2 linked regions of the Danio rerio genome follow. The protein of the gene in region 2 interacts with the protein of the main gene of each other region in a pairwise test. Links are inferred from orthologs where the notes say so. Each region holds a gene or a part of one and is shown on either strand. Other genes may lie near its edges.

What was found. The genes of interacting proteins can lie anywhere in the genome.
Region 1: the proteins of banp (region 2) and sp2 interact in binary tests that used the Homo sapiens proteins (3 or more experiments, as listed by UniProt). The two-hybrid records come from large-scale screens. The link is inferred for Danio rerio from reciprocal best matches to the Homo sapiens genes BANP and SP2.

The regions. Positions count from the first base shown.
Region 1 is NC_133186.1:12,478,118-12,482,245, forward strand, and holds the start of sp2 (transcription factor Sp2), read right to left. Parts: upstream 2,930-4,128; 5' UTR 2,892-2,929; coding exon of another isoform or gene 2,885-2,891; 5' UTR 1,876-2,884; intron 1,614-1,875; coding exon of another isoform or gene 1,600-1,613; coding exon 1,537-1,599; intron 1-1,536. UniProt on the Homo sapiens protein: Binds to GC box promoters elements and selectively activates mRNA synthesis from genes that contain functional recognition sites.
Region 2 is NC_133200.1:32,852,768-32,857,151, forward strand, and holds the start of banp (protein BANP), read left to right. Parts: upstream 1-1,527; 5' UTR 1,528-1,821; intron 1,822-4,384. UniProt on the Homo sapiens protein: Controls V(D)J recombination during T-cell development by repressing T-cell receptor (TCR) beta enhancer function. Binds to scaffold/matrix attachment region beta (S/MARbeta), an ATC-rich DNA sequence located upstream of the TCR beta enhancer.

The DNA.
Region 1 (4,128 bases), on a different chromosome or scaffold from region 2:
GAAATCAAATCACCAAAACCAAAAGAAATTTTTCACTTTTGATAAACTTTCCTCCAAGATAACGCTCAAATATTATAATGCAAGTATGAAGAAAATACAGCAATATTTCATAAAGCACGAAAATAGAAATATCCTGAAGTACACATTACACTGGTACAGCTATGCAAGAGAAATTTGAGAGAGTTGTCAAATATACTGTTTATTAAGTTTCCTTCAGCTTAAGTCCTTTATTCATCGGGGGCCACAACCGTGTAATGAACCACCAACTATTCCAGCATATATTTTAGGCAGCGGAAGACCTTCCAGCTACAACTAGGAAACATCCATTCACATATACACACACACTATGGCCAATTTTGTTTACCTGATTCACTTATAGCACATGTCTTTAGATTGTGGTGCAAACCAGAGTTAAATATGCTGTTTGATTATACCAGGATATTAATACAACAGCAAATAACCAATTAGATTTTATTAATTTGTATAGTATTATTCTTCAGGAAAATGACAATTTTTGCTGTGCCCAAACAATCACTTCACTCTGTGACATTACAAACAGACATCTGTACATTGCAAACAGTTGTGATGATTACCATATTTAAAAACTGCTGAAACATTTTTTAGATCACAGAAAAGTAATTTTAGAAAACTATAACAATTTCCAACAAACACGGCATTGTTTCTGATAAATAACACACTGATTTCTGAGGTCATGAGATTCCAAATGTTGACAGGCACATTTTGTAACAATAGCTGGACATCTGTGTCTTTTTGATCAATAAAATACATTATTATTATTATTTATTTATTGTTCAAATAGCTTTTTATAGGTTTTGATTATAACCACTTTAAGGCTACCCTTCCCCATACATTTTTATTAAAAAAAAGAGAGTTAAAGTCAAAATTATCCTTTTTTTTTCCAAATATTTCCCAAATTATGTTTTACAGAGCTAGGGCTTTATCGCGGTATTTCCTATAATATTTCATCTTCTGGGAAAAAAGTCTTATTTATTTTATTTCGGCTAGAATAAAAGCTGTTTTAATTTTTTTAAACCATTTTAAGGTCAGCATTAGCCCCTTAAACAATATTTTTCTCATAGTCTACAGAACAAAGCATCATTTTGATTTGCCTAATTATCCTTGCCTTGTAACCTGATTAACCTTAATTAAGCCTTAAAATTACACTTGAAGCTGAATACTAATAATTAAAAAAATTAAATCAAAGAAATATTAGGCACTGTCATCATGGCAAAGACAAAAGAAATTAGTTATTAGAAATTATTAAATTAAAATTATTATTTTTAGAAATGTGTTCTTCTTACCGATAAACAAATTGGGGAAAAAAATAATTTATATATATATATATATATATATATATATATATATATATATATATATATCAGAATTTACCAGGAGAATATATTCTGTATATTTAAAATCATAATTTTGGCAGAAATATGAAATTTACTATTGTCCTCAAAAATAATTTAATATCAGTTCATCCTTAAAGCAAAATATAGAATCGTGGGATCTTACTTGAGAAGTGGTGGTGGAGGGCTGAAGATATTCACTGGGACTGACTGCGACAGTGGTGGCCATACTGTCCTTTTGATCTGTGAGAAGACAAAGGTAAATCTATTCATGCAATGAAAAGATCAAAACTCTCCAACTGTGAGAACAAAATAATCCAAGACATTTGAGATCATATTAATCTGTAGCTTGCACAATTTTTAAAGCACCACAACATTTCAATCAAAAGTGCGTGAACAGAACTGAAAAAAAAACAAATGCTCTGACTTTTTTGTTCAAAATAAAATAACCACTAACAGCATGCACTTTTTTTAGTTAGGACAAGTGTAGCTAAGGAGGCGTTACCTGAGATAATCTAAACCCCCGAGAGCAGTGATTCAGCGAGGCAGGGTTTAAAACTCAGTCCACTAATAGCACACAGTGGCACTTCACAGTGTAAAATATATTCAATCCTGGTCCTCAAGTGCTGGGCTATTCCAGAATTAGCACTGAGATGCACAGCTTTAGTATATACACATCTATGGTAAACATCCTGAACTGACCCCATATGTGGACAAATATCTCCGGTCACAACCAAAACAAACGCTTGCTGTTATGATGCTTTCTGACGGCTGTCAAAGCGAACAAAACAAACTCGACATGTTTATGTACTGGAAAGCGAACAAAAACTCAATGCGTGCATGTATTTCAATTACATCAATTTTATAGACAGTTTATAGGAAATATTTTGCAAGTTCGATACATTTAAAACTTGTTCTCATAACGTTTCATTCATTTCTGATTTATTTTCCTCAGTATGAAAATCCCGACGGTATCATTAACAGCCAACGTGTGTGTTTTTACACTACAATTTCAACAGCACTGAAGAAAAAAATGTTTTAATGACTATGTGGCTTGATAAAAGATGCAAGCTGCTAACGCTAACAAGCTAAAACGTCAGAAGCCTGCAAGTGGTTGAGCTATGCTAATTGAATGCTTTAAAATATCTCATCAGTTTGATTTTATATTTAGTTTTTAATCAGTCGATCACGTGTTTACGACTTTTTTACGAGCATGCAGACCGCTTTATAAGGGTTATCCTGACTGCGTGCAGACAGACTCAAGAGTGCGCTGATGGAGGAGGAAACTGCTGGCTTAGCATGCTAAAGTGCTAACTAGCCAGATAAACTCTTCGCTGCGGAAAAGAACAGTGATTCCGGAAGTGTGCATTTATTTGAATCGCAGTGCTACGTTTGATTAAAAAAACTCATGCGTGCGAGCTACGATATTTAACATATATCGGTCCGTTCGCTCGTGAAAATGTTTAAGAAAGTAACATTGTAATATAAACATCAACGTTATAATTCCTACCCACCGCTCATGACGACATTCACTCTCCGTGAAGCCTTGAAGAGCCCACAAAAGATACCGCCCCACCGGGGTCTACTGGCCAATCAGGTTACTTGTCAATCATCTAGAGCTAAAAGTGATAACCAATCAGAAAACAGCTTTTGCCTGATTGACATTTGTTCTGACTAATGAAAAGACGTCGTTTTTCTATGACAGTTGAAGGATATATGTTTGACCAATGGGTTGTCGAGTTTTTAGTAGAGAGGCGGGGGTTGTGAGGCTATCAAAATAATGAGGCGAACCAATGATACGCAGGTATGAATTTAACTGACTTTTCGTTTAGCCAGTCAGAAACGTAGAAAGGATATCAATCAAAAGTAATTGACAACAATCGCTATTAATCAACCTTCGCAAATTGTGTCGGTTTTGCCTTGCATTATGAACGCAGGTGGCCGGGCTACTGTGTCTTCTGAAAAGAGTTACAGAACCTAAAGGTGATGGACAAACACCAACATGTTTTAATTCTCCAAAATGAAATTGTTCTGTCTGTAAATGGAGACTTTTGTTTGTAATTGCAATATTAACTTTAGCCGGTACTAGTGTTTAGGCGTTCTTAACTCGTTTACTGTCTGTAACGTTAATGAGAATACAGTTGTGTGTGCTGCTGTCCCATGAAAATGTTTAGGATAACGTTAACCCCTCGGTAAATGTGTGATATTACCAATATATAGTGATTTGAGCAACAAGTTATAGTCATACGAAAAATTAATAAATAAACAAAAGACAATTCAAAAAGTCATGGAAACTATATTTACCTTCGATCGACCCACTAGCCTCAATCAAGTTTGGGTTTTGGCCGTTTGTAAGAAAAAGTTAGGGCACCGCTTGTTTTGGATAGCCCTTAGGTAAAGTAAAATGTGTGACATTACCGATATATAGTGATGCTAGCAACAAGAAATGCAGTTATATAAATTATTGGTGTTATTACAAAAGTATTACTAAAGAAACGCGTTATTTCAGATTCCTGGAATGATTGGATGTGTCCAACAAATAAAAGTATCCAAGTGACTAAAGAATGGGAAAAAAAAAAAAAACCAGCAATTCAAAAAGCAAGAAGTACTTTCTCTATTCATTTGCCAATAGAGATTTACAGAAACTGCTGTTATTTGGTTTGTTTGTAATCTATATCTCTTTTTGGCATAACATAACATTGGTGCCATCTTTTCAGACACTGTAATATTAATTTTTAGATACGAAAATGTATTTAAT
Region 2 (4,384 bases):
GTTTCTGAAATTGTTCCCCAATTTTAATTAGTGTGTTTTATCTCCACAGAACACACACACACACACGCACACACACACACACACACACACACACACTAATAGCCACATCCTATAGAGATAAACTTTATTGACTAACCTAAAATATATATTTTTACATATTTTATAGTTTTATAACCTACAGTTTAAGTGATGTAAGACATATTTGATGCATACTTCAACGTCTTTGAATACAAGCTCTTAATAGACAAATTAATTCGTGAAATGCACATAGTGCTGGACAAGTTATTAATATGCAAATTTAGGTCGAATGTTTACATGATAATACTCGAATACGCGTTCAAATGTAGAAAACCTTTAGATTTTAGCATCAGTAAACTCAATTTGGTTTAGTCGTCCTGAAAGCTGCAGTTCTGAACCAATGACTGTAAAAAAATATGGACGACGCGACAGCCCTTTTTCCCATTGAACGCCTTGAGGGCAAAACGCCTGCTTGACGGGCACAAACTGTCGCAAAAGACTGCTGAAATTGGAGCCAGACATGCGCAGAAGGACTGTCTGATGGAGCCAGAGGAGGAGCCGCGAAAATGAGCAGAGTCGAGCTTCCAATCAAACGCTTTATGTAAAATCAACTACGCCCCCCGAACTTCTCAGCATGCGTTTGCTGTCATATCAACACAAATGGATGTAATAACGTTAACAAATATGAGGGTTTTATATATTCAATCGCGCCAGCTCCAGGCCGCAGCGCACAACTTACTCGCGGCGTCGCGGGCTGATTCCGGCTCGCATGCGGCAGCGCCTGCTCGCTCGGCCGCCGCATCTGGCTCGATTGACTCGGACTGGAATCGGGCAGTGAATCCAGGCATCCGGAGTAGGTCCAGCAGAGGTAACATTAGTCAGTCTGAGCTCTAAGAGAGAAGTCTCCGGCAGGCGAGAATCTAGCCGGAACTGTGTTTTGCTATCTGGGTGGCTAGGCGTGTATCAGCAAACTAATAAAGCCCGAAAAAAGCCCTGAACTTAGCGAATAAACAGTGTTCCACCAGGATCATGTATGTCAGAAACTATAGTTTACTGCTGAACTCATTTTGTCATGGTAAAATAACACAGAAATCGAATAATAACATTTCAGTCTACTTCAGTCTCCTGCCGAAGCTCAGACGCCGCGCTTTGAGAAACTGTAAATCACAGCTGTCAATCACGATGACACGCCCAGCATTAAATTACTGCTAATAACAAACTGTTTACAAAAATGAAGATCTGCACCTATTTCAGCACAATAACCAGTGCCTTAATCGACCAGAACTATCTTTCGGGACATTTTATTGCAAGTGTAATATTTTTTTTTATTTGGGCTCAAGTCTCCTTCATTAACACGGAGGAGGCGGGCTTTATGACTTGTACTGCAGCCAGCCCCCAGGGGGCGATCTAACGGCCGAAACCTTCACTCAAACGTAGGCTTGCGGCACACTTGTTCTGAACACTGCCGCCTCCCGTGCGCATGCGCAGTCAGGGCGGCGAACGGCACTCAATGCTCCGGCTTTTCTCTCGCGAGGAAGGACGCCATTATCGGAATACTCACAAACAACACGAGAATTCATCATTCACACGGTAATATAAACCATTCTGACATGCGACACCTCCTGCTCTCCTCGCGCTTCAAAATATGGCGCTTTGCATTAAAGAAATGCGCATTATCTCGCTGTTTTCGACTCAATTGTGTCCTGCGTGCCATGAAGGGCACAAACGAGGCCTAGATGCATTTCACTCTTGTGTTTTTGAGCTGTTGGTTAGCAGGCGCGAGCTAACAGGCTACATGAGCAGGTTAGCTGTACTGTGCTAACTAGTGTAAACCACTGGGTTTATTAATGGCACTATTTAAGGAGCTACGACTTTTTAAAGAGAGTTTTGTGATGTTCGAAACAAAAAAAAGTGTTGTTTATTGTTCTAAAATGAAATGGTTAACTGGAGTTAAGCTAAATTTGGCTTGTAACCTAGTTATAATCTTAGCTGCTGCAGTATCATATTTGCAGGGAGAATATTTTTGTATTGTGCAATATTACGTATAAGTAAAGACGAGCTTTATGAGTTATATTAACGACATTTTTCACCACCACCAGTTTTTTTTTTTTACTGTTTTATAATATTATCTATTTCCTTTGTCTTTTGTAAATATTATGAAAATATAAAAATTGACTCATCATTTACTCGCCCTTCACGTGTGCGTTAGTATATAATAGTTAATATATATATATATATATATATATATATATATATATATATATATATATATATATATATATATATATATATATAAACCTTTTTTAAATGTTTTGTGTGAGCAAGTATTTTACAGTGCTTTAAAAATACTCAAAAATGTATTTGTCATGGTTTTCAAAGTATTATTTGATTTAACGTTACCAAAGTCACACAAGTGGGAATTTCACATCCATAACGACACTTTTTCCTCATAAATGCAAAAATACTGTCAATATTTTTTCTTCTATAGTAAGCCAGATCTTATCCTTTGATTAGCATTATTTCTTTTGACTTGTGCAGTTTAATTCACAGAATTTTTACAAAGTATACTGTAAACATACTTTTTTTGGTCACATCCATCACGCATGTTTATTTTCTTCTTTTAAAGTGTTCTCTGTACTTTAAATGAGGAAAATAAACATATTTTGTTTACAGACTGATATTATTCAGAGCCCAGTTGTTCAGAAAAATATATATGTTTCAATATAATGTTAAAATAAACTTTCTCTGAATTTATGTTTTGAGTTTTTACTGCAAATATCACATCCATAAAACTGTAATTTATCATATATATATATATATATATATATATATATATATATATATATATATATATATATATATATATATATATATATATAGACAAATGCTATGCATTATGATAACGCCATTATTTTTGTCACCACCACCATGAATGTGTTTTATAATGTTTTTTATTTTGTTTGTGTGGTCTGTAAATATCTGAAAAAAAAATGTTCCAAGACTTATTTTGTACATGGGTATATATAAATTATGTACCATGGTACATTTTATAAATAAATTGTGCTATTATTACTCTGATGCCACAAAGCAGAAATGTAAAATTGTTATGGATGAATAGTCAGTTTTAATTTTTAAAATCTGGACTTGTGAATTGAGGTTTAGTTTTATATTCGTCCATTTGTTCAGTGACAACATGTAATATGCACCCTATATTTTTTTACCGTGGTATTTTAAAATATGCCTTCTGAAATCAAATGTAAATATTAAAATATTAATATTAAAACATTAGCACTATTTATTTGACTGTGAACAATGTTGTTCTTTGATTTTCTAACTAACTTACTTTTAGAATCGGCATAGAATTCTTTTCAGTAATTATATATTATTAGTCTGTGTGAATATAAAACCAACTTTACTTCAGTAAATCGTGAATACACACACACACACACACACACACACACACACACACACACACAAGAAAACATGAAACCTTTAAAATGTCTAGGCTGCAAATTGGGCATTTAAACAACAGCATCTAAATAATTAGCATAATTAGTAATTAAAGCTCTAGAAATGTATTAATAGGAGTAGCATGTAAAAAGTTATTTAAAAATTAAAGCTATACAAATATATAAAACTTACTAATCTTTTGGAGCTACCCACCCAAATTCTTCTATAACATTGATATCAGCATTAAAATAAAATAATAATAATCAAGATATTATAATGAAAAATTTAATATTTAGTTGTGATTTAGAATGTAAAGTATACATACTGATCTCTGTTTTCTTCTTCTTATCTTTTTACCCTCTATGGCAGGGTGCCCAAACTTTTTCTTATGAAGGGCCAATAACTAAACTTGATTTGGGCCAGAGGTAAATATACTAAACTGTAAAGTTGTCAATATAATTTCTTAATTTATTATTATTATCATTATATAATTTAATTAATAATATAATTTATTATATTGAAATTACTCTAATTGTATTAATAATTATACAGTCTTTGTACATCTTATAATGAACATTTTACAATAAAAAACATGAACAATCCCATTTATAACACTAAAATATACATTTTACCTTAATTACTGATGTCGTCTGTGTTAAAAAAAAAAAAATCTGATTCATTCACAACATTTAAAGCAGGTTACCATGGGCCAACATTTGCCGTCAGGCCCTAGTTTGAGGGGTCTCTGCACTATGGCATATTTTTTTACAAGGACAAAAAGTACCCTAATTTGTGGGTCTCTTATTATAATATAAATCAATTCCAAAATGTGCTCCCCCCCCACCAGATTTTGGTTTGTTGCCTCAGGGCAACAACTTTAAATTAGGGTACTGAAACGCAAAGTCTTCCAGTATAA